3 linked regions of the Mytilus edulis genome follow. Each later gene encodes a partner of the first gene's protein in a complex. Links are inferred from orthologs where the notes say so. Each region holds a gene or a part of one and is shown on either strand. Other genes may lie near its edges.

What was found.
Region 2: 116 kDa U5 small nuclear ribonucleoprotein component-like (region 1) and G-patch domain and KOW motifs-containing protein-like share a complex: the UniProt entries of both Homo sapiens proteins name them as parts of the minor spliceosome. The link is inferred for Mytilus edulis from reciprocal best matches to the Homo sapiens genes EFTUD2 and GPKOW.
Region 3: 116 kDa U5 small nuclear ribonucleoprotein component-like (region 1) and crooked neck-like protein 1 share a complex: the UniProt entries of both Homo sapiens proteins name them as parts of the minor spliceosome. The link is inferred for Mytilus edulis from reciprocal best matches to the Homo sapiens genes EFTUD2 and CRNKL1.

The regions. Positions count from the first base shown.
Region 1 is NC_092345.1:82,431,286-82,441,623, forward strand, and holds the start of 116 kDa U5 small nuclear ribonucleoprotein component-like, read right to left. Parts: upstream 4,899-10,338; 5' UTR 4,752-4,898; intron 814-4,751; 5' UTR 795-813; coding exon 669-794; intron 1-668. Other genes in the region: nuclease EXOG, mitochondrial-like, read left to right, coding at 4,962-5,058, 9,093-9,254, 9,886-10,025. UniProt on the Homo sapiens protein: Required for pre-mRNA splicing as component of the spliceosome, including pre-catalytic, catalytic and post-catalytic spliceosomal complexes. Component of the U5 snRNP and the U4/U6-U5 tri-snRNP complex, a building block of the spliceosome.
Region 2 is NC_092344.1:15,301,908-15,312,245, forward strand, and holds the start of G-patch domain and KOW motifs-containing protein-like, read right to left. Parts: upstream 6,333-10,338; 5' UTR 6,255-6,332; coding exon 6,112-6,254; intron 4,686-6,111; coding exon 4,573-4,685; intron 3,604-4,572; coding exon 3,464-3,603; intron 2,851-3,463; coding exon 2,747-2,850; intron 2,277-2,746; coding exon 2,087-2,276; intron 793-2,086; coding exon 660-792; intron 1-659. Other genes in the region: M-phase inducer phosphatase-like, read right to left, coding at 9,784-10,338. UniProt on the Homo sapiens protein: RNA-binding protein involved in pre-mRNA splicing. As a component of the minor spliceosome, involved in the splicing of U12-type introns in pre-mRNAs.
Region 3 is NC_092346.1:35,663,023-35,673,360, reverse strand, and holds the start of crooked neck-like protein 1, read left to right. Parts: upstream 1-3,496; 5' UTR 3,497-3,601; coding exon 3,602-3,652; intron 3,653-6,194; coding exon 6,195-6,284; intron 6,285-6,675; coding exon 6,676-6,738; intron 6,739-7,109; coding exon 7,110-7,201; intron 7,202-7,987; coding exon 7,988-8,071; intron 8,072-8,972; coding exon 8,973-9,091; intron 9,092-10,338. Other genes in the region: cilia- and flagella-associated protein 61-like, read right to left, coding at 1-13, 912-1,207, 1,736-1,878. UniProt on the Homo sapiens protein: Involved in pre-mRNA splicing process. As a component of the minor spliceosome, involved in the splicing of U12-type introns in pre-mRNAs.

The sequences.
Region 1 (10,338 bases):
TGGAAGTTTTACAAGTGTACATTTGTATGCAGGAAAATGTTGTGCTTAGGTTTTAGGGAGACTGCTTTTTCAATATTATTACATGGTGATATGATAATACTACGAATAACACTGTTTGTGGATAAGAGTGAAACAATAAACTTACTGGTATAAATTGTTAATGCTTGTGTCATTTTGATTGTTATGCAAAAAATGGATTGACAAATTTTCATGATTATTAATTAAGGAAAATTCAATATGAATATTTTAAAACTACTTTTTTGGTACAGTTTGTATATTAAACCTCCAACACATTTATGTCAAGTTGTGCTCTTTTTTCTTTGACAATACATGACTTAAAGTTAAAAACATTTCCAAATGAAAAGAGATTTCTGGTTGACGAACTGCAACTTATCACAATATAGACTAAATTGTTATTAAAACTAAATAAATGTGAATTTAACCAGGACACAATACATCAACTCAGGTTTAAATGTAATGGCAAACACTAAATTCACTCTGGTGGTTTGTGAAGTATAAACAAATGTCATACCTGTTGCTGTTTAGGGGAGCAAAGTTTGTTTTTTTAAATTATTGAATACAAAATGTACTTTTCCCTTGTGCAAATGTTGTGAAGAAATTTTTAAACACCAATATTTTCCTGTTGTTTACATTTTAAATGAACTTACTTCCCCTGCATATTCAGCCATGGCATCCTCTCTGTTCTGATCTTCATCTGCATCCTCATCTTCCTCATCACTATCTAATTCAGGACCTACATAATTACCAAACTCATCATACAGTTCCTGATCCATCGTAAATCAGGACAAAAATCTGTAAAATGCAGAAAAAAACCAACATTTGAAAGTGTTTTTATATCAAAACATATTTAATTCAGTAATATAAAGTAGCTTTCAGTATGTTACGTAACTGCCAGTATTTTTAGATATATTTTTTAGTCTTTATGTTAATAAGATTTTTATTCTGCTTCATGCTGATCTAGGCAAGCCATTTTCTATGGGATTTTACAGAATGCTGTTATATTGTGTTGTTATACCACCATGACCACTGTCCTAGGAAACCAAAATACAAATGTAGTTGAGAACTCATAAACATATGTGCCAGTCCAATGCCTGGAGCCTGTTAAATATATGATATCCTTGGTTGCTGTCTGTCATTTTTATTTCAAGATTTAAAAGGGGACAAAGTTCCCTATAACAGTACAAAAATCAATCCAAAAAAAATCAAAAAAATAATTATCAGGGAACTCAAAATCGTTAACTCATTTTTCGTCACTTTTTTTAATTCCCGCATCTGCACAGAAATCCACAATGTACTTCCTTTTTCCATTTGTTTTCCGGTCTCGTTTGCATGAAACTTTGAGTAAAATATATATTTATCAGTCTAGTATAAAATAGGAAGGAATGCAATACCAATTTCATTTTTAATAATTCTTTGATATGAAAAAACGTTACCTGATCATATAGCCTTTCTTTGTTTACATTGCATATGACATCCTAAGTTAAAGAACGTCACAACTAAAATCCCTAACAACAGAACCAAAATCAGAAACGTTACAGTATTTCTGTTTTGAAATTAAAATATGTTTGAATTAAAAAAAAATTTAATTCATACAGACAGACAGTCCCCTTTCACAGGTAATGATTATGCCTGCCTCATATTATGATAAATGATTCTAAGATGCATTTTTGTGTAGTTAAAAAGAAGTTCTTATAAAATAGGAGCACTGTATACTGTTGAAGACCATGTAGACCTGGAGATATGTGGGCATCTAACTGGATTAGTTAGGAAAGATCTCCTTAAGCTCAATAGGTTAGAGCAATTCTTTGAAATCCCTGACATACTGTTGGTACCATCCATAGATTTTCACAATATTGGCATTGCGAGCATCTACTAGTGTGCACAACTGTATGTAAGTGTCTGGCAGTTTGATATGGTTATTATGTTTGACAGGTCATTGGATGACTGATACATGTCTGACTGACATGCAGGGAACTGATCAGAGGGTTTCAGAGTGACTGCTGAGTTGTACAGTAACGGACCTGTGAGGTCAAATGGATGATGTGCAGCCAAAAAAAGAAAAGAGGGAAGGGTGTTGTAGACCTGGAGTTATAACGGCGTCTAACTCAGTGTTCTCCCCAGAAATTTTGGATAGCATCACATTTTGCGTAAAAAAAAATAACTGTATTTTTTTTTAATGCAGTGTTCTAGGATTTTTTTGGCACCTTGACTTACCACGGGTAAGATCAATAAAAAAATTACTTACCCACATCTAAAAGTTAAATCCGCCAACCAATGCAGACAGCGCCGTCCGCTGCGGCGAGCTAAAGCTCGTCGCCCTTATGGCCGGGGGTCTGGGGGCCGCTCAAAAAACTTTTATGACATGCTTTAAATTATATGTTGTGAAGTTTGTCTGAACAAAGCTGGATTCGGATACGATTGAATTTTATACAAAATTTAAAAAAAACGATTTCTTACTAAATTTGACAAATATGTTATAGTTATTACTATGTCATTTATTAAGAGCTATAATAAATGCAACTGTAAGTTTATTTTCCTCCGATGACAAGAAAAAAAAATCGTTTATGTCCCGATTTAAGCACCAGTTATCAATCCGGATTTTCCGATTTTACCGACACCGTGACCGACTTTTAGAATGATAGGAGAAGAATGTGGTCTCTTTTGCGCTTGATTACACCTAGTAAACGAGTGCTTGAATAAAAGCGCCGATAGACATCGACAAAATCTTCGATCTTTTATCAAAGTTTTTTCTCGTGATTTAATAAAAATAAAAAGCAGATATGGGAAAATTGAAGAGGACCTGGAAATTTCAAGAGTTTTTCGGCTTCCCCGAACTTGAAAATTGACTTACCACCGGGTGACAAAGGCTAAAAAATGACTTACCCGTTGTCCTAATCCACTTACCCCGGGTAACGGGTAATGGGAATCCTAGAACACTGTAATGTCATTTGTCGCGTCGCGTTGATGCTCTATTTCCTTTATATGTTTTAGTTTATATTGTTCAATTCATAACTAAGAATTCAATTAAACTATAACAACAAAAACAGTTGTTTCAGTTTATGTTTTCTTTATTCATTTATAGTTACAGAATTATTTTTTTCCTCTTGTGCCAAATAAAAATAAATATGTGCTTTCAGTTACCCAACACATAAGTCAAATGAATGAATAGTTCATTATAGTGCAACCTGTATATATACAAAACTAAATATCTATTACACAAAATGAACTATTTTTTTATATTATATTAAGTAAAGATAAAGTAGCAAAAGTAGTAAAAAAAAATATCAATTTAAAAACCTTTTTTTATCATGTTTATGAAATTCATTGTTCCATGGCACTCAATGAATTAGTCCCTGTTGTTTCTTATCTTTACATCAAAATGATATGTATTTTTAACAAAGTTATCTAACAAATAGTCTATTAATGCGTAGTTTTCTCTATTGGTATATTTTTTCTGTCTACTGTCCGTCTGTTGTCATTATTGTGAAAATGCGGATTTTTTCATATCTGGTCCGGTTCCGATCTGTAGTATACACAAAAATGTGCTATGGCGGCCGTAGAAAAATTTACGAAAATGAGTCCGAGAATAAACATTGTTTGACAAGAGATTGTGAATGAATAAGACGCTTTTAATGCATTAAATGCATTAAACATAAACTAAAGCCAATTATGATAACTTTTTAAAGAAGTATAAAACTTATTTTAGCTCAAAACCAAAATTCTCGCTCTTGTATTACAGGAAGAGAAAGAAAGTATATTTTGGAGAGTTGCAAATATAAACGACCTTTTAAAAAAAATTCGTTTTAATCTTTGAAATTTTGTAATACAAAACATAGATTTCGAATTGTTTTTGTGATTGCATTTTTCCATGTCGAAGTTGGTGATGGCAGACACGTGGTATAAGTCATGTCACGAGTGTCAGCTTGGGATATTGGCATCCAAACATTTATCACCCTGAGGGCAATTAACACCTGGCTATTTAATCCCTTAATTGCCTTTAGTGTCCGATTTAAAGGGATTACAATTAAAGGTGATGTAATTTTTATGATAATAATCGATAATAGATGAAAGTTCAAAATTGAGGACAAATAAAATAGCATCTTCAAAATAATTATAGCGTCGCGGGAATTATTATAGCATCACGGTGCAAAAATATAGCGTCACGGTACCGCGACGCTAAAACGGCCTGGGGAGAACACTGTAACTGGTTAAGTTCATAGACTTTTTTAAAGCTGCCTTAGGAATAAGGTTTTTGAATCCAGTTGGTTCAATATTATACTTTCTGTCTAATAGTAATAAGCTTCCAATCTTAGGGTTCGAAAAGAGTAACGAAAGTATCATTAGGACATGACAGCTACGGTTCCTCAACTACTTTGACAGGTAACTCAGAGTGAGTGAGGGAAAATAATACCTATGACTGTATGATACTGTAACAAGATCTTTGAGTGGAAAGAAATATTGCATACAGATTTCTCTTAATGTTGGACAGAAGGTTAAATCGTGCGCAAGATGTTCATCCTTCCAGTGGCACAGAGGACATGTTACATTTATTTTGTATTCACTATGTTAAAATTTGTGCTTAATATGAATAATTTTTTTCACAACAGTAGTGATTTTTTTTAGTACAAATGATAACAAAGCAAAAGTAGGGACCCAATCTGATTACGGTGGTCACAGAAAGGCACATTAACCGGCACTCTGTTAAATAATTGAGTTGCGTAATGGTATACCTGATCAGTGTAAGATAAAAGTACTGGAATCAATAGATAAAACAATATTTCAAAAATACATGTGGGACGCCGACACCGGAAGTGTACAAATAACGTTTGGCCTTCGGATTTCTCTAGACTTCAGCTTGTATTAAAACGAAACTGTCCGAGAGTGTTTTTTTCTAAATTCTTTATCAATTACGGACGAAGCAATCAGCTTTGAATACGGAAATGTCACAATTTATGAAAGGAATAATCACAGGCACATTCACAACACTTGCAGCAATTGGCTCTTATCGAATTTTATTTGAAAATGATAACCAAGAAAGTAATGAATTTAAAAAACAAAGATAAAGAATTATTTGAGTTTTTTGCAGTGGTATAAAAATATTAGGGTAAAAGTTTCTATAAAATTTTTGTTGAACACATGAGTCTACACTTACAGTTATACTGTCTTCTATACATGAGGGTAGTAATTCCCTTTATCGTTAGGCATCAAATGGTCATTTTCAGTTGCTGCAAGGATTTGTATAGTCTTACTATACAAATCCTTGGTTGCTGTGAGCGTTAAAATTAAATTGGTAAAAATTTTACAGTGATTCATCAAAATATCTTTATCTTCCTCAATCTTTACAGTGATTCGTCAAAATATCCTTATCTTCCTCAATCTTTATTCATCAGAGGTCCCAAATAATTATCGTCACTGTCTTTTTTGTGAATAGTATAATGTGATTCATCAATATCAGTCGATTTTTTTATCATCTAAAAGAAAGTATACAGTTAATTAACATCATGCACAAAAAATTACCATTAACGTTATTTGGCAACAATTTTACCATTATTTGTCATTAAAGAACCCCCATTACCACCCTCCTATATCTAATAATAATCATGATAATACTGGCATACAAAGTTATTAAAGGTTGTTTTTTTTTTATATGAAAGCTATTGTCACTACCATATAAATCTTCAATTCTCAGCTTTTTATACGACCGCAAATTTTGAAAAAATTTTCGTCGTATATTGCTATCACGTTGGCGTCGGCGTCGTCGTCGTCGTCGTCGTCGTCGGCGTCGTCGTCGTCGTCGTCGTCGTCGTCGTCGTCGTCCGGCGTCCGGCGTCCGAATACTTTTAGTTTTCGCACTCTAACTTTAGTAAAAGTGAATGGAAATCTATGAAATTTTAACACAAGGTTTATGACCACAAAAGGAAGGTTGGTATTGATTTTGGGAGTTTTGGTCCCAACATTTTAGGAATTAGGGGCCAAAAAGGGCCCAAATAAGCATTTTCTTGGTTTTCGCACTATAACTTTAGTTTAAGTTAATAGAAATCTATGAAATTTTGACACAAGGTTTATGACCACAAAAGAACGGTTGGGATTGATTTTGGGAGTTTTGGTCTCAACAGTTTAGGAATTAGGGGCCAAAAAAGGGCCCAAATAAGCATTATTCTTGGTTTTCGCACAATAACATTAGTTTAAGTAAATAGAAATCAATGAAATTTAAACACAATGTTAATGACTACAAAAGGAAGGTTGGTCTTGATTTTGGGAGTTTAGGTCCCAACAGTTTAGGAATTAGGGGCCAAAAAGGGACCCAAATAAGCATTTTTCTTGGTTTTCGCACCATAACGTTAGTATAAGTAAATAGAAATCTATGAAATTTAAACACAAGGTTTATGACCATAAAAGGAAGGTTGGGTTTGATTTTGGGAGTTTTGGTCCCAACAGAATAAGGGGCCCAAAGGGTCCAAAATTAAACTTTGTTTGATTTCATCAAAATTGAATAATTGGGGTTCTTTGATATGCCGAATCTAACTGTCATGACTGTGTATGTAGATTCTTAACTTTTGGTCTGTTTTCAAATTGGTCTACATTAAGGTCCAAAGGGTCCAAAATTAAACTTAGTTTGATTTTGACAAAAAATCAATCAGTTAGGTTCTTTGATATGCTGAATCTAAAAATGTACTTAGATTCTTGATTATTGGCCCAGTTTTCAAGTTGGTCCAAATCGGGGTCCAAAATTAAACTTTGTTTGATTCATCAAAAATTGAATAAATGGGGTTCTTTGATATACCAAATCTAACTGTGTATGTAGATTCTTCATTTTTGGTACTGTTTTCAAATTGGTCTACACTAAAGTCCAAAGGGTCCAAAATTAAACTTAGTCTGATTTTAACAAAAATTGAAATCTTGGGGTTCTTTGATATGCTGAATCCAAAAATGTACTTAGATTTTTTATTATGGGCCCAGTTTTCAAGTTGGTCCAAATCAGGATCTAAAATTATTATATTAAGTATTGTGCAATAGCAAGTCTTTTCAATTGCACAGTATTGCGCAATGGCAAGAAATATCTAATTGCACAATATTGTGAAATAGCAAATTTTTTTTTAATTAGAGTTATCTTTCTTTGTCCAGAATAGTAAGCAAGAAATATCTAATTGCAAAATATTGTGCAATAGCAAGATTTTTTTTTAATTGGAGTTATCTTTCTTTGTCCAGAATCAACTTAAATCTTTGTTATATACAATATACAATGTATATTCACTTTTTACTACCAACTGATGAATTAAAATAATCTTTACCATTCAGTGATAACAAGCAGTTTTTTTACATCTTATTTCCTTATCTTATCTAAAATGTTTTTAGATTATGTATGTTGGACATTTGCCAGACATGACTATGATGTCATTTTCTATTTTTATTTGCCCATTACTTTATGTAAATAACTTCATTGGAAATTTGCCAATATAAAATGTTGCTGATGAAGTTTTTTTTATTGTTTTATACAATAAACAATGTATATTCACTTTTACTACCAACCAATCTTTACCATTCAGTGATAATAAGCACTTTATTTTACATTTTAATATTTTATGATGTATTTAAAAGAGTAGTTATTGTTGCAAACTCCATTAGAAATTTGAATTGATATCAGTTTTGGAAAAAAGGAAACGGGGATGTGAAAAAGGGGGGGGGGTTAAATTTTTCTCATTTCAGATTTCATAAATAAAAAGAAAATTTCTTCAAACATTTTTTTGAGAGGATTAATATTCAACAGCATAGTGAATTGCTAAAAGGCAAAAACAAACTTTTAAGTTCATTAGACCACATTCATTCTGTGTCAGAAACCAATGCTGTTCCAACTATTTAATTTTAGATTTAAAAAGTTTGAAGAAGAAATCTTTAATTGTAAAATTTGTAAAATCTTGACATTTGTTTTGTGTAAAAAAACCCCATGTAATGTCAAAAATTTGATCACAATCCAAATTCAGAGCTGTATCACGCTAGAATGTTTTGTCCATACTTGCCCCAACTGTTCAGGGTTCGACCTCTGCGGTCGTATAAAGCTGCGCCCTGCGGAGCACCTGGTTTGTAAATAATATGTAAATAAGTTTGTGCAAATATAATTGTCTATATTTAAGCCTTACTGATAGTAATGTTTCAGTGAGAAAAGAAGAAGATGTGGTATTATTGTTAATGAGATAGGTACAACTATCCACCAAGAAAACAAAATGACAACAAATTTGATGAGTGTTTTCTTGAACTTACAAATGTATGTCCATCAGATTTATATGGAATCATCAGTCTACACCTATAGCTATACCACTCTTTTGAAGAAAACTTACAGATCTGATGAGTCAAATCTTTTACACAACTAATTTTGATAGTTTATATGTTTTGCTGTTAAACCATTATCCCAAGCTTTTGAGAAAGTTTAGTGCTCACAAACTTGTCCTGAGTGCAGAGCCTGTACTAGTTCATTGGTTGTTGTTGGTTTGTCTGTCTTTTTATTTGTTTGTTTTTTGTTTGTTATTTATTATAAAAAATAATATTTTCAATTGGTTTTCTCTTTTGAATTGTACAACATTTTGTCATGCATAGACATTTTATAACTTTACTATATGAAGGCTCTACAGTCCCCTTTTTCGTTTACATCCCTGTTGATTACTCTCAGTCAACTAGTTTTACTTCTTTTTATATTCACTGTAACATCTGAGAACATTAAAATCTTATATGAGATTTTCAGTAAAGCAGTGTTAGAGAACCCATTTATTACATCACTATTTAATAGATTTCTAATATGTAGAAAGTTAATCTAAATTGGGTAGTATGAAATCATTGATAAAAAATATATCTATGGTAGTAATTTTTTTGTACTTGACCAAAAATGTAATTTATATTGTACATTTTCAGAAATAGAATTAAAATAATAAATCAAGAGGAAATTATCTGAGTTATTTCCCCTTATGAAAAAAAGTATAACTGCTTCTTGAAATGAAAAATTAAAATCTATTGCATTTTATATGAACTGAACAGACAAGATGATCAATTTGGCCAGCAACCCTTTTTTTTAATTGTAGGTTTATCATCAAAGACCAGGGCAAGTGAGACTATTCTCAAGTATGGCATACCAGATCGTGGGCCAGATATAAGGGTTTATGATAATCACATCTTATCATATGATCAGGCAAAGAAAACACCTGTTTGGGTTGCTGAGTATATCACCAAGAGAAATATTGATGGTAATAATTAACATTATGTGAGCCTTATAATTCAAAATGTCTGTAACCTTGGTGACATGAATAATCAAATTGAATTTGTATTAAGAGATCATTTTCTGGTCATAATGTATACACACACTTTTTCCTCCTATTGTTCCATAATTATTTTTTTTGAATAATTGCAGTTTTTAAGAATTTCTATTCCCCTGCAATTTTTGAGAAATTTTATAATTTTGTCAGTCTTGAATAAATAGTATTTTTTTTATTTAAAAGATGATCTGCACTTATTGATTTTATTTATTTAAAAATGACACCAGTAGTTAATCTTTTACTACTATACAGAGTAAGGTTATGATACCATTTGAATTCATAACATGCATAATGAAGAGAGATTTTATAGTGGTTTTGTTTTTCATTTGTTTGTTTGGTTTGGTTTTCATTGCAGTTTAAACATTCAAGGTCTTACAGTCATTTCATAATAAATCCTCTATCTCAAAACTAAATGAAACTCAGAAATCATTTAAGTGATTGTGGGATGTTCTTCAATGAGACAACAACTCAATGAAACATAAAAAAACAACACATATAAAGATACATCTTTTAAATGTCACTTAACAGTATTAGAAATAAGTTAAGTGCTCTATGATTTCAGGACCGGCAGACAGAAGAAAAATCAAATTTAAATCTGATCCAAATGTTCAAACTGAGTTCAGTGCTGAGAACTCTGATTACCTAGGAAGTGGATGGTCTAGGGGTCATATGGCCCCAGCTGGGGATAATAAACACAGTCAGGTCAGTGGTAATAGATTAAATCATGCTGTATATATAATCTTTTATTTATTAGGAATTTAGTAAACACATTTCAATAAGGGCACTCTCCATAGTATGAATATTGTAACAAATAGTTTTTAGGGTGTAGTTACCATATATATTGAGTACAGGTATGTATAGAATCAATCCAAGTTTTTATGAATATTATACAATTACTGTCTTTTGATGAGGAAAAGATAGGGTTTTATTGACTTTTGAAAAGCTGATATTTACTGAGGCAAATGGCTGAGGTGAATATCAGTTTTCCAAAAGTCAATTAAACCACCTATTTACG
Region 2 (10,338 bases), on another chromosome or scaffold:
GAAAAAATCTGTTAAATTCATATAAAATATTTCAAAATGCGACTTTAAATTATTGAGTTTACAACTTTTTTGCATTTTTCGCAATAATGAATACCTCACATTATTTCTGAATTTACAGTAACTTCATTTCAGTAATTTTAATTGTGTGGTGTTAATCAGAAAAAAAACATGCTTGGAGCAATAACCTTTGCTCATCTTGTTGCAAAAATGCAGAAGAAATTGATTTTGTTGTTTTAGATTGTATCTTCAATTTGGAAGATGATAATTTTATGCAAAATATCCCCAAATCAAGTACCGATTTTTACTTCGAAAATCCGGTTATCAAATAAAACTGGACTTAAAATGGTTTTACACTAGTAATTTTGGGGCCCTTTATAGCTTTTTGTTCGGTGTGAGCCAAGGCTCCGTGTTGAAGGCCGTACATTGACCTATAATGGTTTACTTTTATAAATTGTTATTTGGATGGAGAGTTGTCTCATTGGCACTAACACCACATATTCCTATATCTATTAAAATAGCTATTCAGTAATTGACTTAAATGTGAATTCATTTTTATTCTCATTTATTCAAATCATGAAAACTGTGTCAAAACCATGAATTAATGGTAATGTCAATAATAAATTTTATTCGTAACTTTCCATCGTTCTGATGGTACTTACTGAGATATTTAGAGTACTTTTTATAGTCATGACTATCTACCAGTCTGATTGAGTATTGACTTTGAGTGACCATATTACCACCCAATGTTAGCTTGACCATCACTCTTGCATTGTCTTCATCTAAACCTTCTATCTGTTGATAAAAAGAGAAATAAATTGTTAATTTAGTTGTATACAACTTATTGTATTTGATCAAATTATATTGTTTATATCAATATCTATACGAAACAGCAAAAATAGTATAAATATTATAGTCATTTTAACTTTTTTTCCTCCAAATATTAGCTATTTATCTATTTCATACCTAATTATCTATCAACTGGAAGTGAACAACTTCAACAAATGAAGACATTTCATAGGTGATATACATAAGAAAAGACATAGAGTCTGTTGCAGACATATTCAAACCTATGATGGAGGTTAGAAAATTAACTCTTGAAAAGAAATTTCCTATCTTTTTCATTACATGGTATTTAAGTTGATTTGATTTTTGGTATTTAACGCCACTTTTAAGCACTGAATTTAGGCTATTTGGCCTTCAGTTCTTATTGGTGGAGGAAGCCGGATTGCCGGATAAAACCAATGACCTTTGTTAAGAAAACTGACAATCCTAGTCAATTAAGATTGGAGTCATGTGCACCCGCACGAGCAATATTCCAACTCACAACCTCAGTGTTGACTTGCTAGTGATAACAGTAGTAACTACTTTACATTCAGCCCCAAGGCCCCTACATGGTATTTAACAAAGTGAAAGTTATTCAATTAAAATCTGAAAACATGCCACATTGTTATCTGTTGATTCTTTTATTTTCTTATACTATACAATTACTGTCTTTTGATCAGGTAAATATGCAGTTTTATTGACTTTTGAAAAACTGATATTCACTGAGGCAGAAGGCCTCAGTTAATATCAGTTTTTCAAAAGTCAATTAAACCGCATATTTACCGAAACAAAAGACAGCAATTGTTTTATTCCATATCTGAAGAGAAAACAATGTATTTAATGACAAATATTTATTCAAACCAATTGTACACCAAACAGTTTACTATAACGTTACATGTAAAAGCGTGTGATGTTTAGTGCAGTGAATAACACTTTTCTCCAGGTGAATAGGCTTTTTTATTTAAAATCCAATTCATATAGAAAAACCTACTAAAATAATACTAATACGGAATAATCTCAGTTATCAATTTTCATGGATTGAGGAAAACTTATATTTTTATGGTTTTAACAATATCTTCATACATTCCTACATGTATATAGACAATAAGTAATTTGCTGAACATATAAATCCCACAAAATCCACGTTAATTGGTATTTTAATCTAAGGAATAATAATAAATACATGGCTTACAGATTTGAAGCCTAGTCTATGAAGTCTATAAGTGTTGTCCTTTTTTCTTTATACTACTTTCACACAACTTACAATTCCATACATATCTTTATTTGCTCCCTTTAGAAGAACACAGTAAGCACCCTTCTTCAAAACTAGTGCTTCCTCATTGTCATTTTTTCCTGATCCTTTCTTTGAATCATTCAACTGGGCTGCTTGTGACCTATCAGCTCCTAAGCCAAGGCCCTTTGGTCTCAATACAGCATTCACAGGAGCTACAGCTCTATGTAAATAAATTGAAATAACAAAAATTGTTTAAATATGCATATTAAAATGTGTAAATATCTGATTTTTACTTATAAAATTGTCTTTTACAATTTTGAAATGAATATCGTGTGAGTCAAGCAATTTGCTTCTAGTTTGTTACATGTATTTAATCTGATGAAATTCTAAAAATAAAATTATTAAATATTTATAGATTATCGTTTATCATCTGAACAAGATTGATTTACTCACTTGAGCCGGTATGTATTGAGATGACCAATGATAATCTGTTTATTGCTATATAACCTATGACCTATTAATTTCATTGACACTGGCAAGTTCAACCTTAATTTCTAGTGATAATTTTTCAAACCACTCTACTGTGCTGAGAAAGGAAGTTATCAGTAACTAAGATTAAAGGAAGTTTTGTAAAATAGGGATAATTTGCATTATCAACAGATTCAGCAAGTATTCTACTGTTTCTCATACTTATTATTTTTTCCTATACCCTGTCCTTCTTGCCATCCCATTCCTCTTAACATAGCTAACCCAAACTGGTCTATAGGTATTTCTTCATAGTCATTTTCTTCAGGCTATAAATATACCAATGAAAAAAATATTATTGTGACTGGCAACACTTTTATGCTTACACATGTTTCTTTTTAAAGTAAGTCCACTAAAAATGTATGCAGTGCACATACAATTCCAAAATATATTAAGATATATACATGAGATATGTAATTGATAAATATCTAATTGACATCACTTAAATGTTTTTGACTAAAAGTATAACAATACAGCAAAATGGTAATTTAGTTCAAAAGTGTAAGGAATTTGAATAATTTGTTCATTAAAATATCCTTTGCATTAATTTCATATAAATATATGCAATCTAAAATTATCTTGTAGAAAAAACAATCCTGAAATTATTTCTATTAGATACAAAAAAGCAACAATATGATATACATGTATGTAAATTACAATTATGAAATATGTCAAAATAAACTTTGAACAAAATATCAGTGTGTGCCAAATCAAAAGAGTCACACAGATAATTGTTAGATTGTGTTTATTCCAAAATTAATATAACTGATATAAGCATTAAGTTTCCAATAATGCATAGCTGAAAAATATTCTACATCTTTATTTGAAAGTATAATGTACACGGCTATAAAATATTCCTAATTTCATTTTTTTTTATAGTACCTCATCAGGTCGTAAGCCTACATCTAACTTATCATCTGTTTCAAAACCTTCAGGAATTTTGTTTTGCATCAAAAGAGGAATATTTAATCCCATATCAGTCTGCCCCTTTCCTTGTTCAGCTTCCTGGAACTTTCTTGCGTCTGAAAAATGTCAATTAAGTATACATATACACTTTAATTTACATGCTTCGATTCATTTTGCATAAATGAATTTATACATCTCATTAACTAACAAATCACCTTACAAATATGTCATATTTGTTTATGTTTAATTAATACCAACAATCTATCAATTTCTATTGTCTTTTTTGTGAACGTTTATTGGTGCAAAACTATGTGTTGTCCTTGTATATATATAGACTATTGCAGTTTTCTGAGTTGTTCTTTATCTGGTCACTTTTTTATTGGTGTTGATTGCTGAGGACAGTTTATAGTTGGTTTACTATTTTTTGGTTTGATTGATGTTGATTTACTTGTTATCAGTTTTGCTCTGTTGTCTTTCTGAGAATATTTGGTTAGTTGTGCAGGTACACAAGTTGTGTTTGATGTTTTCATTTTAACACTTTTGCTGTTGTTGAATTTTCTTATGTAATATGGACACTTATTCATGTGTGAATCCAAAATCAGGTGCTTTGCACTAATGTCAGGTCTTTTAGCAGTATAGTATCCTTATTCCCATCATTTCTATAAACAGGAGGTGATTAAGAGCTTGACAGTCCATATAGGCATGTACCAACTGTTGAAGGCTCTGTTACCTTCTCTCTCATGTTTAACACCAACACTTTCTTTGTGTGCCTGCCGCAATTCAGGAGACAGCTAAAATTTGGTGGATGTAGTTGGTTTCTGTCTGTAGTCTTGTTTTCTTGTAAAAATTTCTTGTAATAAATCTGTTCATTTGGTTTTTTTTCATTTAATTTGTTTCATGTTTTGACATATCATTCAAGGGCATTTTATTGTTTATAGCTAACCAAACGGTATAAGTTTTTCTCCTTATTGAGGAATGTATAGTACAGATGTCCTGTTGAGCAATCATGCCAAATCTATAGATTTTTTTTATAGTTGTAAATTTAGAAATGTTTGCAAACCACATTCTACAAAATTTAGTTTTACCTTCTACCAGTTCCTGAACAGCACTGTCTTCAATTTGATTTCCAGATGCATTTACCCTCCACTTGTTTTCTTTGATTAAGGGTATAACAAACTCTTTGGCTTTGGGTTTTGTGCTGCAAAAAATAAACCATAAATTAATATGGAAATGGAGAATATTTTATCCCTCCACTTTCATTTGGCTTTACAAATAACAAGTGTACTGTGTTGTGATGTATGACTTTAAGACAAAATACATGAAATAGAAAAACATATAACAGTTTTTATTTAATATTAATCTGCCAAAAAATATCCTTTCTGTAACCAGACAAGACTGTTTAAACATATTGATAATAAAATAATAATCAACTGGTTAATGAACATTAAGTTTTCAGCAAATAAAAGAATATCAATTTTATTTTTTAATTTAATTTCACCATCCAGAAAAGAAATTGATGTCATAACAACATGATAAATGTTGACAAAAATTCTTCAATTAGTTTATTTTTAAAAGATGATAGCCTAATATAACTTGAGTATGGAGCAATAAAATATGACACCTACACATCTACTATCATCATAAAGCTTTAAAGAATACATCGACAAGCTGCAAGAGACTACAAATCCAAAGATGATGGTTGCATCTCAAACATCCTTACTAAACTGGATTTACAGGTCATAAAGACAAGCACACAAGCCAGAAGTGAATATTTCTGTACAGGCTAGTACAGGGGCTAGTTCCTGTTATAGAACCAGATGCATATTTAAAAAAGGCACATCCAATAACACCAATTACTTAATACTGCCAATAAATTTGGCAATTGTTAGACAATTGTTGAAAAACAAGTCAGGAACAACACAACATGCACAAAGTGTTTTGAAATTGAACTAACTTTACCCTAATTCATTGTTTTCTTAAAACAGTGAACAAGTCAGTGGAACCAACTTGAAGACACATTAGACTAGAGTGTAGGGAGTCTCATTCGGGGGTTCTGATCCCGGATCCCGCTTACTATTTTGTTTGATTTCCGTATCCTGCTTACGCTATTTACGTAAGCAATTCTCAATTTTTTGTTATTTCCCGTACCCAGCTAGACACTAAGACTTCATTTCCCGTTTTCACAGCACAAGAATTTGACATTCACATGTCACGCTTACAAAAAATGGGCAATCCCGTGTCGCGCTTAGACCCCAATGAGACCCACAGTGTACATGTATTATGTATAGCACACATCATCATTGAGAACTTCCAAAACTGCTTTCACACCATTAACAAATTGACAGTGCTGCCACTACCATAGTTTTAAAGACAGTATTGATATTCACAACATGTTCATACATATACAGACCCACTTCAAACAACACCTTTTCAAAAGAGGGGAGAAAGAAACATAAGGGACATTCAAACTCACAGATCAAAAATAAACTGACAACGCCATGGCTACAAAAGAAAAAGACAAACAATAGTTCACAACACAAAACATAGAAAAATAAAGACTAAGCCGATAAGCAACACGAACGGTACCCCAACACAACTTCAAGGCTGTTCAAGCCTTTTGTTACCTTTTAGCAAAGTTCTCGTCAACCTCGGTTACAAATTCTGCCTCTTCATTCTTTTCGACTTCTCCTTCGCTTATTTTGGATATTCCCAAAGATTTGTTCTTTTTTATTTTTGAAAATCCAAAAGACACTGTTTTCTGTTCCATTTTTTTGTGATTTTGTGAACTTGCGACGATTTCTTTTCAATATTTTATAAACAGGAAGTATACGTTTTACGTACGTTCAATACAGGAGAGTCCCAGTAGATTGCAATTCAGTCATTCAAAACAATACGTCTGCTGGTTGTATTTTTGCAATAAAGATTATTACTGCATAGGGAAGATTTCTGATACTCGAGCTATCCAATCAATATCTGATTTATGTATTGCACATGTCATTAGTTAGGATTATGTACCCATCTGTTCGATCATTCTATGCTAAACATATGGAAATTTTGTACTGAGAAAATCCACAGCCTTCCCCCTTGTTCTCTTACATTTGGCAATTCGGTGCTTGATAGATAGAGGATTATTGCATGCAGTGCTAGCAATGATTTCCTTATAACAAGTTTATAAATTTAGATATTGGTTAAAACAAATATAAGTATAGACCAATTCAAGTACACCTTAGGGTGCGCTCGACTTTAGTGACCCAGCACGAGTTTTTTTTTTTGGAATTAAGTAGTTCAGGACTTTTTGTAAAAAAAAATGCTAGCACATCATAGAAAAACAAGTGAGTATAAAATCTATTTTGAAAATTTTATTACAAAAATCTCTTTTATAAAGTTTGAGGATTTTCTACAAAAATCCATTTTTTTCTATTAAATGCAACAAAACAATAAATAATATTGCTTTGCACGAAGTTTCCCCTTGGTATATGTACAAAATGGTCCATCTCTATCATTCAATATTTTGACTGTTTCGATACTACTGCAATTTGAAAAATTCATAATTCACCGTGATGGCTACAGAACAGCAGAAGGAGTTCCAACCGGATTTATAAATACTTGGCGGTCACTGAGTTGACTCCAAAACGAAATTAAGACAATAAAGATGGTCTTGTATTATTTTTAATTCTAGATCATTTATATGCAAAGTCACCTTGGGCTAACTTAGGAGGAACTTGTGAATAGTTGTCTCATTGGCAATCATACCACATCTTCTTTTTATATTGAGAAAGATACTAGAAGCATGTAGAAAAGCAGCCTAGCCTGGAAAATATACATGCAAGCGGATATACAAGTAAACAAATTGGAATGTATACAAAACAGAGGCATACGATTCATTAAGAAAAACTACAGGAGTCGAGAACCGGTTCCATCTCCTACATGAGACGCCAGTTTGAAATTGAGACACTGGAGGAACGAAGACACAGTCTCCGTCTGATCCTGATATTCAAGATGGTTGAGAATCTGGTGTCGGAACTGCCAGCCGACAATTTTGTCACACCAGCAAAATCGAAAAGAATAATCAAAACCAAAATATAATAAAATTGTGAAACAGACAATATGATCGACTGTGACGGCACATAATAAACAACACAAACTAGCCCTGCCCCCCCCCCTTTTGAGACTGAGAAAATTTGGTTGCTTATATAGGGAATCACTGAGGCGTTACGAAATCGGGTCCCCTCTTAGGCAGCCAGTGGGCCCCCACTTATGAAAATTTCTGGATCCACCACTGGGGCTTAAAGTGCCAGACAACAATATGCCACAATAGTCAATAAAAACATTCTTATTTTTAGTGAAACAACCATATACTAGAACCAACTGCCAGATAAAGTTGCGCATACAGATTCTGTAGAGCAATCAGTTGAAATCGCTCACCAGGAACATCTCCATTAACAACAGCGCTCTTCTCCACCGTGTATACAAGCCGAAATAAAATTCTACATGTACCAATACAGTGTATGAAAAAGTAAAAAAATATCTCTTTTTGTAGTTGTTATGTTTAACGAATTTTGTATAACTTTTTTATGTTTCAATTTATGTTCCCTTACTTTAGAATGGGGTCTTGCATATATATAATCCACAAATCTTATAATAATTTAACCCATTCCCACCGCGAAAAAAAACCTTGACAATTGGATCTTTTTCTGTAAGATTAGTTTTTATATTTCAATGCTCATCTTTTTATTCACCTATTGTCATCGATTGTCAAATAACAATGTTGGGAATAATTCTGCACTGAATAGGGGCACCTACATTGCTTGTCATCGGATTGCCAAATTCTTGGTGATACTACACCCTCAGTTACCTACTGATGTGTCACTCTCTAAAACTAACTTAATCTCGTAATATTAAAATTATCTTCTCTTGTAAAATGATCATCACAAAATGTAGTTTCTCCTTTGTGTTTTTATTTTTATTTGTAAAATTTATTTCCGAAAAGGATACTTTTTTTGTCAGTATTGATTATAATAAAATTGAGAATGGAAATGGGAAATGTGTCAAAGAGACAACAACCCGACCATAGAAAAAAACAACAGCAGAAGGTCACTAACAGGTCTTCAATGTAGCGAGACATTCCCGCACCCGGAGGCGTCCTTCAGCTGGCCCCTAAACAAATATATACTAGTTCAGTGATAATGAACGCCATACTAATTTCCGAATTGTACACAAGAAACTAAAATTTCAAAAAATACAAGATTAACAAAGGCCAGAGGCTCCTGACTTGGGACAGGCGCAAAAATGCGGCGGGGTTAAACATGTTTATGAGATCTCAACCCTCCCCCTATACCAATGTAGCCAATGTAGAAAAGTAAATGCATAACAATACGCACATTTAAAATTCAATTCAAGAGAAGTCCGAGTCTGATGTCAGAAGATGTAACCAAAGAAAATAAACAAAATGACAATAATACATTAATAACAACAGACTACTAGCAGTCAACTGACATGCCAGCTCCAGACTTCAATTAAACTGATTGAAAGATTATGATTTCATCATATGAATATCAGGCACATTCCTTCCCGTTAGGGGTTTAGTATCATACCATCATAACATACATGAGAAGAACATAACCCGTGTCATGCCAACAACTGGTTTTTTAATAAATGTGTTTAGTTCCGATGCAAAGACCCTATAAGTGAATCAATATTAACGCCAAAATAAGCAATCTTTAGTGACCTGACAACAGTATCGTAACTATATCCCTTCTTGATAAGTCTATTTAAAGGTTTTGTTAGTTTCTGAGGTGAATACTGACATTTTTGTGCTTTATAAAGAATATTTCCATAAAAAATTGGATGTGAAATACCTGAACGTATAAGAATTCTGCATGTTGAGCTATATTTACGAATGATGTCCTTATACCGATGCATGATAAAATTTAGTAAATGTTTTGACTACTTTGTCGGAGATTATATACGTAGTATATTCATTTTGTCGTATGTCAATCTCCTTCAGGAGGAAATAAAGTTATATATGATATACACTATATATGTTTCTGGTTTCATGGTACCAACAAAATCATATTTCACATGGTGGCACTATATACCTATTGTGGTATTCTTAAGGATAAAAGATAAAATACAACATTATTATTTGTAACCTTTAATAAAATTAAAATCAATAATAAATGTATATAATATAGCTAACAAGTACAATAAAAAGATTATTTAAATCAAAGCACTGAAAGTTTTTATATCACAGATTAATCAAAGCACTATTTGTTATAAGCAGCTGCTTTACAGTCCTAAAATTTCATCACTTTTCTGGCAAATCTTCGTTTTTCTCCAAAAGTCCATGACTTTGACTTGACTCTGAAATGTCGCAAATCTTCTGAGTGGTCAGAGTGAAGCATTGGTCGATAGCTCACTGGGTCACAACGGTGAGGCTGTTCATTAAAGAATGACTTATAACCACCGTCAAGTAAATAAATTTCAGGAAAGTTCAGTGATGGATAGTTTTCTTTATTGAGATCTCTGTCTTTGCTTCTTAGGAATCTCAGCATTTTCGGACCTCTCTCAGAAGAAAACTCACAATGAAAGACGAAAATCTGTTTATCTTTAGTAGGTTGTTGAAGTAAAGTTAAAATGGTCTCGTTCAAATACATATTTTCTGCTCCTCTGATATGTCCGCCTTCAAATTCATACGGGTATCGACAGTCGATGATCTTGTAGTCACTGATTACGTCATCGTAGTCTCCGTTTAAAACATCAATAAGTGTCTGTGAAGTGATGCTTTTCAAATCAGAATGTTTTCCAGTGACAGTTGGTAAAGTATGTAATCTACTACCATCGGCAATGAA
Region 3 (10,338 bases), on another chromosome or scaffold:
TCAAGTGAAGCATCTGCAATAGAATAGAGGTGAAAACATGATATTACACCAAATTAATTGTAGATTCACTATTGAAAGAGTATTGAATAACTATCCTGAAATTTATTGTTACCTATGTTGAATTCAATCAATGACTCTTAAATTGAATTAAAAGAGAGATTAAAGAACATGTACATGTTCTTTAATTGTAATTCACTGTTTTCATGATAAAGTCCCTCAAACAGAATCCGATAGCTATCAAAATCAAACTTGGGCAAGATGAAATATTTATACAATTTTTTTTTTAAACCTTTTTAGACAAATAATCAATTTGTAGCTGAAAGATAAATTCAAGAAGAATGCAATATTTAGATGCACCATTAAGTGATAAAAAATATCAAAATTCACATCAAGTATTATTTCCATGGACATCAAGAGGCTACATATCAGTTCCAATGATTAAAGAACAAGAATGCGTCCCCAGTACATGAATGCCGCATCCACACTATCATTTTTTTTATGTTCAGTGGACTGTGAAAATGGGAAAAAATCTCCAATTTGACATTAAAATTTGAAAGATCATATCATATGGAACATGTGTACTAAGTTTCAAGTGGATTGAACTTCAACTTCACCAAAAAACTACCTCGACCAAAAACTTTAATCTGAAGCAGGACAGATGGAAGAATGAACTGACGAAGGAACAGACAAACGCACAGACCAGAAAACATAATGCCCATAAATGGGGCAAAAAAATTGTATTTTGGTGGATACTTGTTTTTAAAGTTTGAATCAATTCTGCATACAAGCATACAGAATTTATTTTTGATAAGTGTCTCACATCTTCTATCTAGTAAATGCATGAAAATAAGTACTCCATGAAAATTTGTAAACCCTGACATTGTGACACAGTATTTTATTAAATAACATACCAGGATAAGCTTTCATTGGTACATTCAGGAATAAATAATGTAAGTCAGGAACGGCATTAAATGCAGTACGGATTATCTCCCTTGCACAACCACTGGCATATTCTTTCTTTGCAACAAAATAATGCATGTACAAGGAATTTAGAGCTGATGTTTTTGGAGTATCAAACATCTTGTGGAACCACTCCTCCCATGTTGATGGATCAACACCTTCAATGTTGGGATAATCAAAGAATGCAGCATGGCCAAGGATTTCTTCTTTGTCGTTACATAGAGTGACCGCTAACACAGCTTTCTCTCTGTGAATTAATGAACAAGGATAAAATCAATAAATTGGAAAAGTTTAGAATCAAAATACACAAAATGCAATTAAATATTTTTTTTGTTTACAGAATACTCAAAAAATTTAATCCAGATTTTGGTTTTCTGTATACTATATTTGTACTGTTATATTTTTAATACATTGTAACATGGTATATGTAGCATTAGGTAAATATTTCTGACTTTTTATATCTTTCAGTAATATTTCTGACTTTTTGTCTTTGAACAAAAACAAATACATGATAACAGACATCCTGTGGTTTTTTTCCCATGCAATAGAACCTCCATGACCAGTCAGATACATGTAAGATATAAAAATATTTCATGCTGTGGCAATAATTAAAAAGGGTCAATTTTGTTGTGTATTTTTTCAATTTTGGATGTTAAATCAGGTTTTCTTGTATTTGAAATTAATAATGTCATATATGTAAAATACAATGTTTGGTACTGTTGACTATATGCATAACAATCTCTAGACTTATTTCAAACTGATTGTTATGACTTACATTAAGTTGACAACATTAACTCTTCCAAACAATTGGTCAGTTGAACTGTTCACGAGCTTGATAATGTGTGGTGCATCTAGCGATTCTGTTCTTCTAGCATTTACAACCTCTGGGGGACCATCCACAGGTGTAATTGTTGCCATGTTTTCCAATTTATGCAAATTCTAGAAACAAATTAAATCAAAAATGTATAAATTAATACTGTGATGACTGTAGCATAAATGCCAACAACCCTTTTTGCAAAATCAGAAAGAAAGAAAAAAAATGCTGTAATATGTGTTTGATCAGTAGTCCATTTTTATAAAGTTTTAAATTATTATTTATTGTAGTATTAATACATACCTGCCAAGTTTTCAAAATGACCATGGGGGTTTTGCGTGCAAGATGGCTGCCATACTTCTAAAAAACCTTCAAGGGGGCCTTCAAATACAGTGTAATGTTGTTTTTTGACTTCTTCATACTTTTATAAGCCTCAATTCATTTTAAAATTAATTGTTTTGTTAAAATTGTGGACATAATTGCTCTTGAAAAATTTCAATTTGGGAGCCTTCATGGGGGAAATCCCCCGCAAATAGTGACAGTTGACAGGTATGTAAAATAATACACTTACTGAGGATTCATTAAATTTAATGGGAACCAATGTTTGTGGATAAAGGAAAACTGGCATGTTTGATGATATTTTATTTTATTTTGTGGTTCTCCCTTACCAACATGATCAATGAAAATTGGTATCCAACAAATAATAATTACCGTACCAAAACTTGATTACAAATATATTAATCATAAAATCAATAACAAGGGTGCTAATGTGAATTGGCGCGATAGTACTTTAGAGCGAACAGAACTGGAATCGATACAACTTATCGCTATTTGTCAGCCATTACTGAAAATCACACAGGTTCCCGTAAAATCTTGACGTCATAAAACAAAATATCTGACACCACAGTGGAAAAGTGATTGTTGTATGCGTCAAAAGTTCAAGCGGCCAGGTCAGCCGGGATTAGCGATAAGGCGTATTGTACCAGCTAAAAATATGCAATTAAATTGAAAAGAACTTTTAATCGCAAAAAGGTAAAGAAAGTGTCATTAATCAATTAAAATACAAGTCTCGTCACAGAACTCTTGTATCAATGACTACACAGAACCCCTATTCAAAAAACCTGCAACTCGTAAAGGAAAAAATCTGTTAATTCTGTTTGTTGACAACATCCCCTGAAACCTGCCAAGAACTAAAACGTCAAGTTTCCTTACAAAATCGGTAAAATTTGTGAAAATACTTTATTGTTCAATCAAGTTGAAGAAGTTTATTGAGTTAAACGAGGTTGACAGGGAAATTCATGGGCAGTCATATGAGAAAACAGCTATATAATTCCAAATTTCATGTCCAACCTATCATTTGCTTAAGCGTGACATGCATAAAATGTGCCTGATTAGTAAGTGATATAAGGACTAGTTCAATTTAAAGTCTTATTTTTTAACTAAGAATTACTCAAATGCCTATTTCTCATACAGTTAGTGTGGATAATCAATATATATTCTCACTTTTTTGGATATCTCAAAGCTTTACCGCCATTGCAAAGCTGCTACTTAGCAACGATACGTTAAAAGTTTCGTATATCAACAAATATCTAATATGATTTCTTCAACAAAATAACATATAATATATTATCATATAATGTAATTTACAATCATTTTTTAAAGTAAAAGAGGGACTGCAGTGTATTTATTTCTTCTGAATATTTGTCATAAGTTTCGAACATTTCTATTTCCGTTTCCGGAAAAACAAAATTTCGATATTTGAACGTCCACACTTGCTTTGTAGTTAGTTTTATATTTAAAAGGCGCTGTTTATGTTAATTTAACAAGATGCTTGAAGTTGACGAAGATGGCAAACGCAAAATGCCTAAAGTGGCAAAGGTGACGTTCTCAAACTTTAAAAATGTTTATCCTATATTTATGACCCAACTTGGCATTTCAATTTTTATGCATTAACCAGTTTACATTTTCAATGATTTTGAGGAAATCTAGAAGGGTAAAGAACCGAATGGGTGCGAGAAAACTCGACCGGAGTAAAATTGGTCTGTCTGCAAAAAGACAACTCTAACTGTATGAAAACAAACTCTGACTGTCAAGAATTCAAATGGGACCTCCTGTCTTAAGTTTTTAATATGAGACAGGCATTACCTGTAAATGGAGAAGAAGTCTGTATTATTATATTTTTAAAATTCAATCATGTTGATAAAAGAAACGGAAATACCGTAAGGTTTCCGATATTGGTTCTGTTGTTTAGGATTTAGTTGTGACGTTATTTAAGTTATGACGTCATATAATAATGTAAACAAAGAAACGCTGTTATCAGGTAACGTTTTTTCATATCTGACAACAATTATTAAAAGTGATTGGATGTTGAATTCCTTCCTATATTTGTTGATATGTTGATAAATATACATTTTATTCAGTCTCATGCAAACAAGACCGACTGGAAAACATTTGTGCGCAGATGCAGACCAGAAAAGGAAGTATATCTGAAAAAAATTTAACGATATTGAGTTCATTACAGTGTAGGACAGTCAGGCCAGCCAAAGGCTGACCGGATTTTTTTTTTTGGGCGAGTGTAAAAATAACTTCACAGGCCCAAAATGCATATTGGTAGCCCAATTATTTTACTCGATTTTTTTTTACCCGTTGAGCCTTAAAAAATGACAAAAAAGCAATATAAAAACGGTAGATGTTCTCAATTCCTCAATTAAACCTTCCTGATACATAACCCTAAAAAAATCATTCCCGTAGTCTTCATTGTCACTAAAATTCAGCATCACTGTTCAGTGCCTAATTTAGGATTTTGGAGAGGAAGAAGTGACTTCTCATTCCAAGAGAGAGAGGAGAGAGGCGAAGTTCCAATGCCGTTTCGGTTGCATAGTGATTTCGTGTTATCACTGGGGAAATATTGCTGCTGCGTTTAAAATTAAACAAGTTTATGCGAAATAATCTAAAAATAGCACGGGGAATTTCTGCTATAGATATTCTATTCCGTCATGCAGTCATTTCAACAGAGGTCTCCAAAGTGTCAATGCAAAACAACATAAAAAGACATTTTACATATATTTTATAAGCGAATTATTTTCTTATGTCACTGCCACATGCACTTGTTTCTGTCCTTGGGGGGTTTAACTATCCACATTCGTATGAAAAACATTTTGACAGCTTCTTGGATGTTTCCGTGTTTGCCGGTTTCCTTTCATAATTCCCATTTCCCTTGTTTGGTTAAGTGGGTCAGATGAGGTTTTACTGTCAATGACTGTCGCTAGCCTATATAAAACACCAATAGTTTAGCGACCATCATTGTCAGTAAAATTATTTTTGACCCACTATTAACAAGCACATTATCACGATGCGTTTGTAAATGCTATATTGATATTTTGATGCACTTGCACGTTTTAACGATGTGAACAGAGGATTTCCGAAAATGGGTGTTCCGAAGTTGAGGTGGTTTATTATAGGAGTAAACTACGATTTTGAGAATGATATACACTCGCCCAATGATTTATTTTTGGGCCAGTTACTATTCATCTTGACAATTTCTAATCGCCCAATCAAGGTGCTGGTCCATTGGCGACCAGGCGACTGGCTGTGTCCAACACTGTCATTAGCATGATTAGTAGAATGAAAAATTCTGGAAATATTCCCGATTTTTTTTTTTTTTTTTATTGATTTTTCTACCGTAATTGGGGACTTCGTCCCCATATAATAATATGAGGCAGGCATTACCTGTGAAAGGGAACGAAGTCTGTATCAATTTTTTTAATTTTACGTAACGTTTCAGATGTTGATTTTGTTGTTAGGAATACTCGAAGTCTCATGACAAATGAATCTGGAAAAAAAGTCAACACTTTTGAGTTCATTAAAATTATATATATTTTTTTTATTTATTTTTTCTACTGTTATAGGGGAATTCGTCCCCTTATTATAGACAGATGTTACCTGTGAAAGGGGACAAAGTCATTCATATTTTAAATTTAGAACCTGTTTAATAAAAGGGGACGACATAGTCTGAATACTTTGTTTTTTAATAGTCCAGCATATTTTGCTTTCAAACTCTTAAAACAGAAACGGAAATATGGAAACTTTTCCAACGTTGGTCCTGTTGTAAGGGATTTAAGTTGTGACATCATTTTCAATGTAAACAAAGAAACACTCATCAGGTAACATTATTTTATTTTTCATATCAAACACTTATCAAACAAACACCAAATTAGATGGAAACAATATGATACTCCTTCCAATTTTACAAGTTATCACAAAAAAAACGAGAAGAAAAAAAGAGATTTCTGGGAAAATGTGGAAAAATGAAAAAAGTCTGAAAATTGAAAGTTAACGATTTTGAGTTCATCATGTTCATTAGTAGTTCAATTTTTTTTTTAAACTACTGTATATTGACTTTCATTCTCTTTGTTTGAAGGTTAAGAACAAGATGCCAGCACCAGTCCAGATTACTGCAGAACAGTTACTCAGAGAGGCCAAAGAGAGGGAATTGGAGCTTGTACCTCCAGTATGTTACTCTATGTTATTCAAAAAAATCATAGGGGTTCCTAAAAGTTTTCAATTTCATTAAAATTTTACCAACAGCTTTTTATTTAAATCAGATGTTGAAAAAAATATATCCTTTGTTTAAATCACCTGATTTGAGATTTTGTAAACTTTGCAATATTGGTTTCAGTACCTAATAGATTTAAAAGATGCTCTTGAATGATAAAGTATAACTTGATCGTGTCTACGTTTGTATATGGCTCTAGCTATAGCTGGTATTTTTTGTTAACTCCTTTTGAATTTTAACAAGTATCAATTTGATTTGATTTAATTAGTTAGTCATTTTCAATATATTGAGAAAGGTCACATTAACATGATAACAATACTGATATAAGCAAACTTTTATATTAAAGCCTCCAAAACAGAAGATATCAGATCCAGATGAATTAGCAGCTTATAAAATGAGGAAAAGAAAAGTGAGTACAAATCTATATATGATTGCTTTAAGGACTATGAGATTCTAGCAATTTCATGCATATTTGTCTTTTGAGCCCAATCCTATATTTCAAATTTCTACCTTCTAATAGATTTCTTTTAGAATTATAATTATAAATTAGTTTTACCCTATATAAACAAGATGCTGTTTAGAAAATGTTGACTATGTCAGGATGCTTTTTGAAAATTTCTGATACATGTACTGTGAATTCATTAATGTTTGTTTTAAGGGAGGAGGGTTATGACTCACTGAAAAAAAGGGATAAAATCTTTATTTTGAATGACTTTTAATTACATGTATATACATTCTTTGTATGCTTTTTTAGCTTGCTTATATTATTTTTTATGATAGGCATCTGAGGATAACATAAGGAAGAATAGAACAGTCATGATAAATTGGATTAAATATGCACAGTGGGAAGATTCACAACAAGAAGTTCAAAGGTAATTAATCTTAACTAATAAAATAACTTTATGGTTGCATAGTAAGGTACACATACAAATGACATATTGGTGGAATCTGTGCCAAAATCAAACTAAAGACTATAAAATTGGTCCTGCTGCTTTCTCTTAAGTTCACATTATAAGTAAGTTAGTAAGCAGGATTGAAGCTAAAATTTTGAGGTCTATAGTCACTTTTGCTTGCTACTGAAAAACTTACCTTTTCGGGAAACAACTTGTATGGGCACAAAAAACAACAATAACAAAACATGTTTAATGTGTTCTCCCAACTGTGTTTTCAGCTATTCATTTGTATTGTTTATAAAATATCCATTTCACATTATAAAAAATTACTTGTTGACAGCTATTATTGTTTAAATAGTTACTGTTTCCATTAAAATAGAGTTGCTAGTCATCTTTTAAGTATGTTTTATCTGAGACAACTCACCTTTCAATACCCTTAAGGGTTCTCAGCAGTGTGAGTAAATTTTCCTTTCTTAGCTGAAGTTCTGGATGTGGTTTATAGAATAGGAGCCTTTGACCATCATGTTAATGTGATACTATGTTGATTGAATGTAAGATATCTGAAATGATTTTTAAAATATATTCAATAGGAAATAAAATTTCATAAAATTGACACTGGAAACAATAACAAGTTTAAAAAAGACAACAATCTGACCAAATAGCAGAAAACAGACAAAAGCAACCAATGGGTCTCCAATGCAGTCTACCATTATAATAATGCAGTTTTGCTATGTGGAAAATAATTTTGTTTACTTAATTTTTCAGAGCCAGATCAGTTTGGGAAAGAGCATTAGATGTTGACCATAGGAACATAACAATATGGCTAAAATATGCTGAAATGGAAATGAGGTATTATTTACATATGAATTACAAATAAATACCTTGTTTTTAACCCAAAAAACATATTAGAACAGCTGATTAATTGCAATGGCCCTATAAAATAGTTTTAAGGTTAATTGTAAGTTCCCGAAATACATATATACTGTTATAAAAAAAATGAAATTTAATTATCAATGAATTATTTTTCTTTATACTGCAATCAGCTATTTTACTATACAGATAAAGCTATACGTATAAACGTTTGCTTTTTACGTCAATGACCTCAACTAACCTATAAGCCCCACCTACTTACTGGAACTACCACTGTTTCATCAACAAGTCACAACCATAATAACGTGTAGTAACATTGGTCAAACTTTTATGAATTTAAACTTGTTATGTCTTCAAATTGGTAATTTATATACCATGTTTATAAAATGTTATTAATTAAGTTCATTTTCTCTTTCTAATTCCTTAAAATGTCAATGTCTTACCGCCTGGATTACGCTCAAAGGGAAATACCCCAAAATGGTACCCCATGAGGGAAATTCCAAAAACTTTTTTTTAACAATATTTGTAACATATTTTTTTTACCTTTTTGAAATTTTTTTATCGATTTCAGTATAAAGACAATATACGTACAGTGTCTTGAAATATGAAATTTATTTGTATTCGGCACGAAACAGGTACAACCTCGCATTTCCCCCGTTTCTAAGCCTCATACAAATAAATTTCATATTTCAAGACACTATACGTACAATGTATGTATATTGTCTCAATCTATCCCAAAAAAAAATTTTGCACTAAATAACAAATATCTAAAGAAATGTCTCTGCAATAAGCACATAGTTATATGATAACTTCATACATGTTATCTTTTCTTTGTACATGTAGATGTTGAGAAACTTTAAAGATTATATCTATTTTTCAGAAATCGTCAGATAAACCATGCTAGAAACATCTGGGATAGAGCACTGACGATATTACCCAGAGCAAATCAGTTCTGGTATAAGTATACTTATATGGAAGAAATGTTAGGTAACATTGCTGGTAAGTCTATATTTTCTACTTTTTATTATAAAACAGACATTTTTTGTGATCATATGATCATGAGTTTTTCCATTGCAGTAACTGCTGTTGTGGCCACTTTGATATAGTATTTGGAAGTTGGTTAAATATTTGCATGAATTAATCACTATGCATCATTAAGAACAAAGTAAAGTTATTGTGAACTTGTTTATTTTTAATAGAAAAGTTATATGGGTACAATACATAACGTAGTTTGAATGGAAGGAGATGTTTAGTGTATGGCAACAAAACAGCAACCCAGCAACATATTCTGAATTATCAGTTGCAAGTGGCAATTTTGATAGAATTATTTGTGTGCAGTCTTTCCTGAAATCACATTAGTTTATCTTAAAATTGAGAATGGAAATGGGGAATGTGTCAAAGAGACAACAACCCGACCAAATAAAAAACAAAAAACAACAGCAGAGGGTCACCAACAGGTCTTCAATGTAACGAGAAATTCCTGCACCAGGAGGCGTCCCTCAGCTGGCCCCCAAACAAATATATACTAGTCCAGTGATAATGAACGCCATACTAATTTCCAAATTGTACACAAGAAACTAAAATTAAAATAATACAAGACTAACAAAGGCCAGAGGCTCCTGACTTGGGACAGGCGCAAAAATGCGGCGGGGTTAAACATGTTTGTGAGATCTCAACCCTCCCCCTATACCTCTAACCAATGTAGAAAAGTAAACGCATAACAATACGCACATTAAAATTCAGTTCAAGAGAAGTCCGAGTCTGATGTCAGAAGATGTAACTAAAGAAAATAAACAAAATGACAATAATACATAAATAACAACAGACTACTAGCAGTTAACTGACATGCCAGCTCCAGACTTCAATTAAACTGACTAAAAGATTATGATTTCATCATATGAACATCAGGCACAATCCTTCCCGTTAGGGGTTTAGTATCATACCATCATAACATATATGAGAAGAACATAACCCGTGTCATGCCAACAACTGTTTTTAGAATAGATGTGTTTAGTTCCGATGCAAAGACCTTATCAGTGACTCAATATTATCGCCAAAATATGCAATCTTTAATGACTTGACAACAGTATCGTAATTATATCCCTTCTTAATAAGTCTATTCAAAGGTTTTGTAAGTTTCTGAGGTGAATACTGACACCTTTGTGCTTTATAAAGAATATTTCCATAAAAAATTGGATGTGAAATACCTGAACGTATTAGAAGTCTGCATGTTCAGCTATATTTAC